Neurospora crassa OR74A: one gene and its partner. The protein of the gene in region 2 binds, or shares a complex with, the protein of the main gene of each other region. Links are inferred from orthologs where the notes say so. Each region holds a gene or a part of one and is shown on either strand. Other genes may lie near its edges.

Evidence for each region.
Region 1: NCU01772 (region 2) and NCU00727 share a complex: the UniProt entries of both Schizosaccharomyces pombe proteins name them as parts of the RNA polymerase III (Pol III) complex. The link is inferred for Neurospora crassa OR74A from reciprocal best matches to the Schizosaccharomyces pombe genes rpc2 and rpc34.

What each region holds. Positions count from the first base shown.
Region 1 is NC_026501.1:7,401,043-7,404,618, reverse strand, and holds NCU00727 (hypothetical protein), read right to left. Parts: upstream 2,290-3,576; 5' UTR 2,097-2,289; coding exon 1,855-2,096; intron 1,780-1,854; coding exon 789-1,779; 3' UTR 580-788; downstream 1-579. Other genes in the region: csr-1 (peptidyl-prolyl cis-trans isomerase), read left to right, coding at 1-29, 96-389; NCU00728 (hypothetical protein), read right to left, coding at 3,262-3,576. UniProt on the Schizosaccharomyces pombe protein: DNA-dependent RNA polymerase catalyzes the transcription of DNA into RNA using the four ribonucleoside triphosphates as substrates. Specific peripheric component of RNA polymerase III which synthesizes small RNAs, such as 5S rRNA and tRNAs.
Region 2 is NC_026502.1:2,489,770-2,494,149, reverse strand, and holds the start of NCU01772 (DNA-directed RNA polymerase III polypeptide), read right to left. Parts: upstream 2,876-4,380; 5' UTR 2,690-2,875; coding exon 1-2,689. UniProt on the Schizosaccharomyces pombe protein: DNA-dependent RNA polymerase catalyzes the transcription of DNA into RNA using the four ribonucleoside triphosphates as substrates. Second largest core component of RNA polymerase III which synthesizes small RNAs, such as 5S rRNA and tRNAs.

The sequences.
Region 1 (3,576 bases), on a different chromosome or scaffold from region 2:
TCCAGGGTGGTGACTTCACCCGTGGTAACGTAAGTCCATGTCCGCCCAACAAGCTATCGAACATGGGAAAATAAAGACCTAACCTCTCTGAACAGGGCACTGGTGGCAAGTCCATCTACGGCGAGAAGTTCGCCGATGAGAACTTCGCCAAGAAGCACGTCCGCCCTGGTCTTCTCTCCATGGCCAACGCCGGCCCCAACACCAACGGCTCCCAGTTCTTCGTCACCACTGTCCCCACCAGCTGGCTCGATGGCCGCCACGTCGTCTTCGGCGAGGTCGCTGACGATGAGTCCATGAAGGTCGTCAAGGCCCTTGAGGCTACTGGCTCCAGCAGCGGTGCTATTCGTTACTCCAAGAAGCCCACCATTGTCGACTGCGGCGCTCTCTAAATTCCCTTGTGGACATTGTCGAGGGTTTTAGGGATTGGAGTCGCGGTACCATAATATTCATATGAATGTGCTGCTATAATATCTAGATAGCCCATCAAAATGGATTTCCTGCGCTGCACACCCACCCTTCTTCACTGCATCGTCATCACTGTCGCTTTGATGGTTGATGTGATTACGCAAACTGATGGTTGATGAGATCACGTAAACTGATGTCTTTTCCTAGACAGTTTGCAGGTCATGTGAATGTTATCGCCAACACATTGAATGCTAAACAGATTACCTCCAACGCCTAGATGAAACCAAATTACCCTTGCCTTCTTTTTTTTTACGCCGTTAATGCAGTTGTGATAGAGACCATGCAACGTCTTCTAAACGGAGACACAAACACATTCGAGTCGATCAGATCGAAATGACTTGTTCCTGTACCTCGTCACCATCCAGCCACCGTCTGAAATAGACGCAGTTGCTGGGGCTGACAGGTCCGCCTTCCTCGCACATATCATAGACAGGGCACCGCCCACAAGGCGCCTCCATAAGGCCACTTGCACTCGGCTCAACTCCCATAAATGAGGTAACAATGCCTCCTTTGGTTGGATCATGGTCGAGGCGTCGTTGATTGCACGTCCTCGGATCCTGTTTGGGGATGCGCGTCACACGGTACCCCTTGCGCCCATTGACCTTGACAGGCTCTACTAAGCCATCGTAGTATAGCACATCCACCAACTGCTGGATATCCGCCTCGCTCAACGTCGTATTATTCGTGATGCCGGCGTGGTGGATGAACTTTGCAATGTCCGACACAGTCGGGTACGACTTGTAACCGGCCGGGAGAGGCAGCAATTGCGGCTTGCCGGGCCTGGTCTTCTTGGCCGGTGCCGGTGCCGCCGTGTCGTCGTTGGAAATCTCGCCCGCGCTGCGCTTCGTCCCCTTGGAAATATCCTCCGAGTGGGGAATGGTCCCCTGAACCACGCCCTTCTTGGGATTCTTTTCACGCTGCTGTGCTCCTCCTCCTTGTGCTCCTACTCCTGGTACTCCAGCACCGCCGCCGTGGGAAGTATATGTCGATTTCTGCTTGATAAAGTCAAACACAATTTCCTGTAGCTCGTTGATGAAGGCCGTGTCGAGCTCGCCCTCAGTAAACCAGGGGCCACCTGTGGCGCGATCGGAGGGACGTAGGTTCGCCTTGATGTACATCTTCTTGTTGGGGTGCTCGACGTTCTTCATGCTGGCGATGTAGCCCTTTTGCTCGAGATACTTGATGCAATGCTTCATAAGCGAGTCGGCCATGTTGAGCTTGTTCTTGATGGTCCGGTTCCAGATGCCGTCGGCCCCGGCTTCGTCGACCATGGCGTATACCATCATTATTTCGGAGTTGGGGAGGGAGGTGTACCTTTTGGGAGGAAGGGGAGGTTAGTTGGTGTGCTCGGTTGTGTCCTAAAAAGAAAAAAGAAAGGTAGTAACGCACTTCTTTGCATCCTCCCGGCTTCGCCATCTCCACGACAGCCCCGATGCCGTGGTGTTGCCGACAAAGAGCTTCTCATCGCAGAGAATTTGGATCACCTGCATGAGCAACCCGATATTGTCTTGGGGGATGACCTGCATGTCCAACAGGTCCCGCTGCGTGAAGAGACGCTGATCGGAACCGTGGTCCCTCGCCGCCTCGTAAAGCGCATCCTTGAGGATCTGGATCTTGTCGCGGTCGGCCATCGTGTGCTGGTGGTGATTAGGAATTTCGTGTGGTGGTTCTGGTGACCGAGACGCAACAATTTGGAAGAAAAAAAGGGACTCGTGACGGGACAAAGACAATGCCCTGGCTGGTTGTGAGCGTCAATGCCCAGTCTGAAATGGGTCTGTTGATTGGATTTAGAGAAGGTGTGGCGTATGGCCAACTGCAGGTCGGTTTGCCAAACCGAGTTGCACTGGTCGATCACGAAATTTCCCAGAAGAAATGCCCCGCCTTTCTCAGCCTTGCATGAAAGAGCAGAATAAAGCGTTTTGTGATTGGTCACTCATGTTATGCCAAGACGGTGACTTCTGCTCAGAGTTCCAGGAAGTTGATTCGTCAGATGTCCTCTTCCCGATAAGTAAAGAGTCATGATCAACATGAAGTAAAACTGCGAGCATTGATGAGCCAAGTCTTGTATTTCTATATCAAATTGTCAAAGTAAATATTCCCTGACTTCTTACGCGTGACGGAATCCGAAGTGTTGCATAATCCACGGAATGCTCGATGTAAGCGTCCTCTTCAGTGGAGCACGTTCCACTTTCTGATCAGCCTTGCGGGACCACGCAGGCCATCCCAGTTTCGCAGGTCTTCTGCAACCTTATCATTTTTCTCATCCTTCAACCTTCCAACCGCCAATTTTCTTTGACAAAGCAACTCTCGCGGATCGAGTCACCACACTACATCGTGTACACGTCATCTAGCTCACCCATTGTCTCCTGCTTGATTTCCCTTTTCCCCCCACCCTAAATCTATCTGCTCATCAAATTCCTTCTGCGAAACTCAACGTGCAACCCGAAGGATATCGATGCCCACAATGGACGATAAATGCATTGACTGAAGGAACTCCTTGCCGCAGTGTATCCCATGATCCAACCACCGACAATCTGGGCTTGACTACCTCTTCATCTTCTTACAACTTTCGCTCATCACAGGATGATACGCCAGGTTGCTTGACGGTGCCTGATTCTCGCACCAAAGGGAATCAACACTGCCATACCTCCGCCCACTATGAGCGCAAATACGCCTGCCGTTGTTCCGAAAGCCTCAACATAACCCACCATCTGGACCCAGATCAAGACCGACGCCGCGAAGAAGAAGCTTACAATATGCTTTGTTCCTATTGACATCGTGCCGTGATTAGCAAGGTTACTCAACCAGGAGGGACTCATGCTGCTTCTTACCATTGACAAGCATAAGAGCATCCGAGTTTAGTGGAAGCAGACAGTCCGAGACATAGGCCATGGTGATGGTCGGCACCGCCGTCAATGCTACCGACATCATACCATATCCAAAGAACAGGCTGACCCAGCCCATTGCCTTTTCAATGCCATATCCGAACACCAAGCAGCCCGAGCCGCTGATGATCAGAGGTACGATGCAGAGCCACAGTCGATTCTCTGGTTCGTAAACGCCATTGTTGCGCCTGGTCTTCCAGTCGCAAAACTTGTCAACCGCCCAGCC
Region 2 (4,380 bases):
ACTTGTTCTCGCGCTCGTTGACCGAAATCATGACCTTGTCGATGATGGCGGGGTCGGAAATGCGGTAGTTGGTTGATGCGTCACGGTAATCGTCTGACCCACGATCGCCAGCGATTCCAGTAGAGATCTGGTCCAACGGGGTCTCCTTCTTGATCATCGTTTGTCCGGATTCAACCTTTGAGCCCACCTGGGCCAGGCCATCGGCGTCGAGGATGGCGTGCTTAACAATGGGCTTGTCGTCTTCGTCCTTCATGATACCGCCAACCCTGTCGCGGCGCCCATTCGTATAGCCTTGCAATTCGGCGGTATACTTGCGGAACACTTGGCAGCGGCCGAATCCACGATCTAGAGAAGCCTTGTTCAGAACAAGCGCATCTTCGATATCGTAGCCAGAGTAAGACATGACAACGACGGTGGCGTTCTGTCCTGCCGGGAGCTTGTCGTAGTGGATAAGTTGAATCGTCTTCGTAATGACCATTGGTCGTTGGGGATAAACAAGGGTATAAAGAAGGGTATCGATTCTGTTGAACTGATTGTAGGCAATAGCACCAATGGCTTGTTTACCCATGGCGCACTGGTAAGTATTACGGGGAGACTGGTTGTGATGGGGAAAGGGAATTAGACCAGCGACTGCTCCGAGAATCGTGAACGGCTCAATTTCCATGTGCGTAGTGCTGTTGGTGATCTGATCCTCCTGAAGCGCCACAAGGGTATCGTTCTCTTCGTTGACATCGAGATACTCAACCACGCCGCTGGTCAGGAAAGTGTCGAATGTCGCTTGCCCGAGTTGAAGCATCTTCAGGTGCTCTGCCTTCAACATGGATTTGCCGTTCTTGACGATGATGTACGGGCGGCAAATACGTCCTTCATCGGTAGCGATATGAACCGCCGAGAAGTGCTCGTTGATGTGGATGCTCACAAAAGGAGAGACCCAGCCCCGGCGACGCAAAGTTCTGAACCTGGCGGCAAACCGCTTTGGCTCCCTGGTCACAGCAAATGGTGTACCGTTCAAATGGATGATATACGAGCCTTTGCTGTGCATCTCTGTTCCGGTGTATTCTCGGATCGGTCCCACGCTCTCATCAGCAGCAAAAATCATCTTCTTAACTGGTTCCTCCGGCACATTCGTGGTAATGTGTGTCATGAGTGCCAAATTCTTTACCAGACCACAGGCTTCACCTTCAGGTGTATCAGAGGTGCAGAGCATACCCCACTGTGAGGGCTGTAGGGCTCTTGGACCGGAAACCTTTCTTGTTTTTTCGAACTGTGAGCTGATACGCGTCATCATACCCAGCGCAGCGATATAACTGAGTCGGCTGAGCACGTGGGTGATACCGGCTCTGTTCATGTTGAAACGCTTGACCGTCCAGTTGCCGCTCTGAATGGCGCGGTTAAGACCGTGAGAGATATAATGGCCGTTAGCCATGATCGCACCATGGGGATCATACGTAGAGGTACGGTTGGGTTTCTTGAAAAAGTTGTCAATGTTGTACTTGACGTCTGAAATGAACTTTTTGAACAAGTCTTCAAATAGAAGGGAGATCAACTGTCCAGCCAATTCCAATCTCTTGTTGCCGACGAAATCTCTGTCATCGACGAGCTTGGGATTCTGAGCTGCCATCAGCACGCGGCGAACCATCATGGCAATGTAGACGGCCTTGGGATAGAAGTCGAGACCCTCAACAGTAACGTGCGCGATAACTAAGTTCGCAAGTGCGTCGAGACCTTCTTCAGCATGGTTTCTTCGAGGAGCGGCACCGAATTTGGGTCTGTTACCGCCCATCTTGACTCTAGCACCAACGTATTCCAACGCTTGTTGTTGTGTGTAGACACCAGCTCTTCCGGCTTCATCGAAGTTGATGAGGAAATCGTCCTGGTAGCGCGCATCGCCACCGCAAACCAGCTCGATGATGTCGTTGTCGGAAAGACCACCGAAGGCCTTGAGAACGATGACGATGGGAATGGGCTCGGAGAGGGTGTTGTGCTGCAGGACAATCCGGTCCTTCTTGAGTACGACGTAAGTCTTTGACTTTCTCTCGTGTGTGGAACTGGTAACCGAGGCCATGACTCCGCCGGTCTTCTCGTCGGCCTCGACAATGATACGGTTCTTGCTAAGCTGTTCCTGAATCAAGATGACCTTTTCGGTTCCGCCAATAACGAAGTAGCCACCAGGATCGAGAGGGCACTCGTTGAAGACCTCCATCTGGGCATTGGTGGCGCCGTTGAGGTAGCACTTTGCGCTCTTGAGCATGACGGGAATGCGGCATAGCGGGATGTTCTTGCGGACGATAACGTTCTTGTCGCGGGTGTAGGCGATGTCGACCTCGACGGGGGCGGCATAGGTGAGGTCGCGGAGACGGCACTCCATGGGGGTGACGGGGTTTCGAGACTGGACTTGTTCGCCATCTTCGGTGCGGGTGGGCATGCCGACGCGGATGTCTCTGAACTCGAGCCAAAAGTTGGGGTCCTGGTCGCTGCGGACGACGCGGTTGGCCCTAACGATGTCCTTGATTTCCTCGTTGACGAAGTAGTTGTACGAGTCGATGTGTTGCTTGACGAGGCCCTTGACCTTGAGGAAGGCCGGGACAAGATGGAACTTGTCCTGCGTGGTCGAGATGGGATCGGTCAGCTTCTTGCCATTGTAGAACGGCTCCAGCAGGGCCTCAAAGCCATCGTCGAGAGCCGCCATCCTTGCATGTGCTAACTGCGGGTGACGGTTCGTCGTATCGATCGGGCCGGAGGAATGGAGGATGGCGATGATGGGCGCGGAACGACCGGGAATGTGTGTTTGGTTGAGAAGATACGCCTTGCAGTTGTGTAGGTAGATTTCGATGTGATTTTTGGCCCCGCGGCAAATTGATAAGGATTAGTTGCGATAAACTTTTTCTACGGGCTGGCCGCTGCCATTTCTTGTTAGGTCAGTAGAGGTAAGCCGCGGCTGGGGCGGTGGGGGACGACGGGGCGGGAGTGGTCTGTGCTTGACTGTTAGTGTGTGTAGTGCACTACACTAGAGGTAGTGTTGTGGTGCGGTGACCGGTGACTGCTAGTGACTGCAGTGGTACCTAACTGGTATGCCGAGGCCAAAATTGTTAGCGCCCACGTTTTGGACCCCTGATTGACAGTTACATATACCTATGTAGGTTCCTTGTTCCACTTTTGGCCGTGCCCTCCACCTGTCGGGTACCTTTGAAACCTTTCCTTTTGCTTTGACTCCGGACCGTCACTTTGATGTTCGTGATAAGGAACCCCCGCCTCTGTGCAACTCCGACACATCTGCCTCCTGGTGGTAGGTTGTATTTACCTATCCAACTTCAACTAGCACAGCGATTTGAACAATTTGTAGCGGGGTCAGGCCAGCTAGGTAACCTCAAGATAGCTATGTATCCGTTCTGCTGAATCTAGCCGCGCCAAGCGGAAGCCGGGCCTTCGATCGACACACCAGTCAACAGGGGAGAGCTTCTGGTTATGAAATCACCTGCCGGGTCGTTCACTATTTCTCTCCTACCTGTTATCATGTTGATGGTCTTCTTCGGTCTTTGTTCGTTGATATGGCAGCCTTTGAATTGCTAATCGCATACAACGGAGGTTGATGTTATTCCCAAGTGCTGTGACCTGCTCAGGCTTCAAGAATCAGAGAAGGGTTATGCTTCTGGCTGACTATACAAACGTCAAAGAGTCGCATCACCGTTGGCCGTGTCTTACAGCATAGTGTAGGTAGGTACCCATCTTTTCCTAGGCCAGCTCCAGCAGGGTGCTACCTTGCTTGAATCGACCTGGAACCCAACCCAGCAGTGGGGCAAGATCCGAAAGAGGAGCAATTGAAAAAAAAAGGCGAGGAGATTTCACATCAAGGTTAAACACGGGGGCGCTGCACTTGTGCGTTCGCTTTCTCTACCATGGTCTCAATGAGCATTCAAGACATTCCATATCTCAGCGTCTACCATAGCTATCACCTGGCTATCGTACATTTGAGTGCTCAGAATGTAAATCGATCTTCTCTCTTGTACTGAATCTTCCACAGGGCAGAAGTGAGGGTTAGAGTGTCCAGCCTTGAACATTGACGGCTGTCTGCCTGTCACTCACTGTCTTGTGCCTTTTGTCACTATGGCTACCTTTCCCATGCCTTGTCTCGAGCTTGTCTCGCGTGTCAGCTAGAGTGCTGCAACACGCAATCCCTCTCCCGTTCTGTCGCCAGCCAATCATTACCTATCCGGTTCCAGACAAGGCCTAACATCGCGCAGGGGCAGCTGCAGACTGGACGCAAGGGCGCGGGTAAGAGAATCTGGGGCAGCCACCTCGTGGATTGCCTCACTGCAGGCCGTATAGCGCCCGGCGACGCCTATACACCGCTAATTCCTCAGGACTTCCACTTTGCCGTCT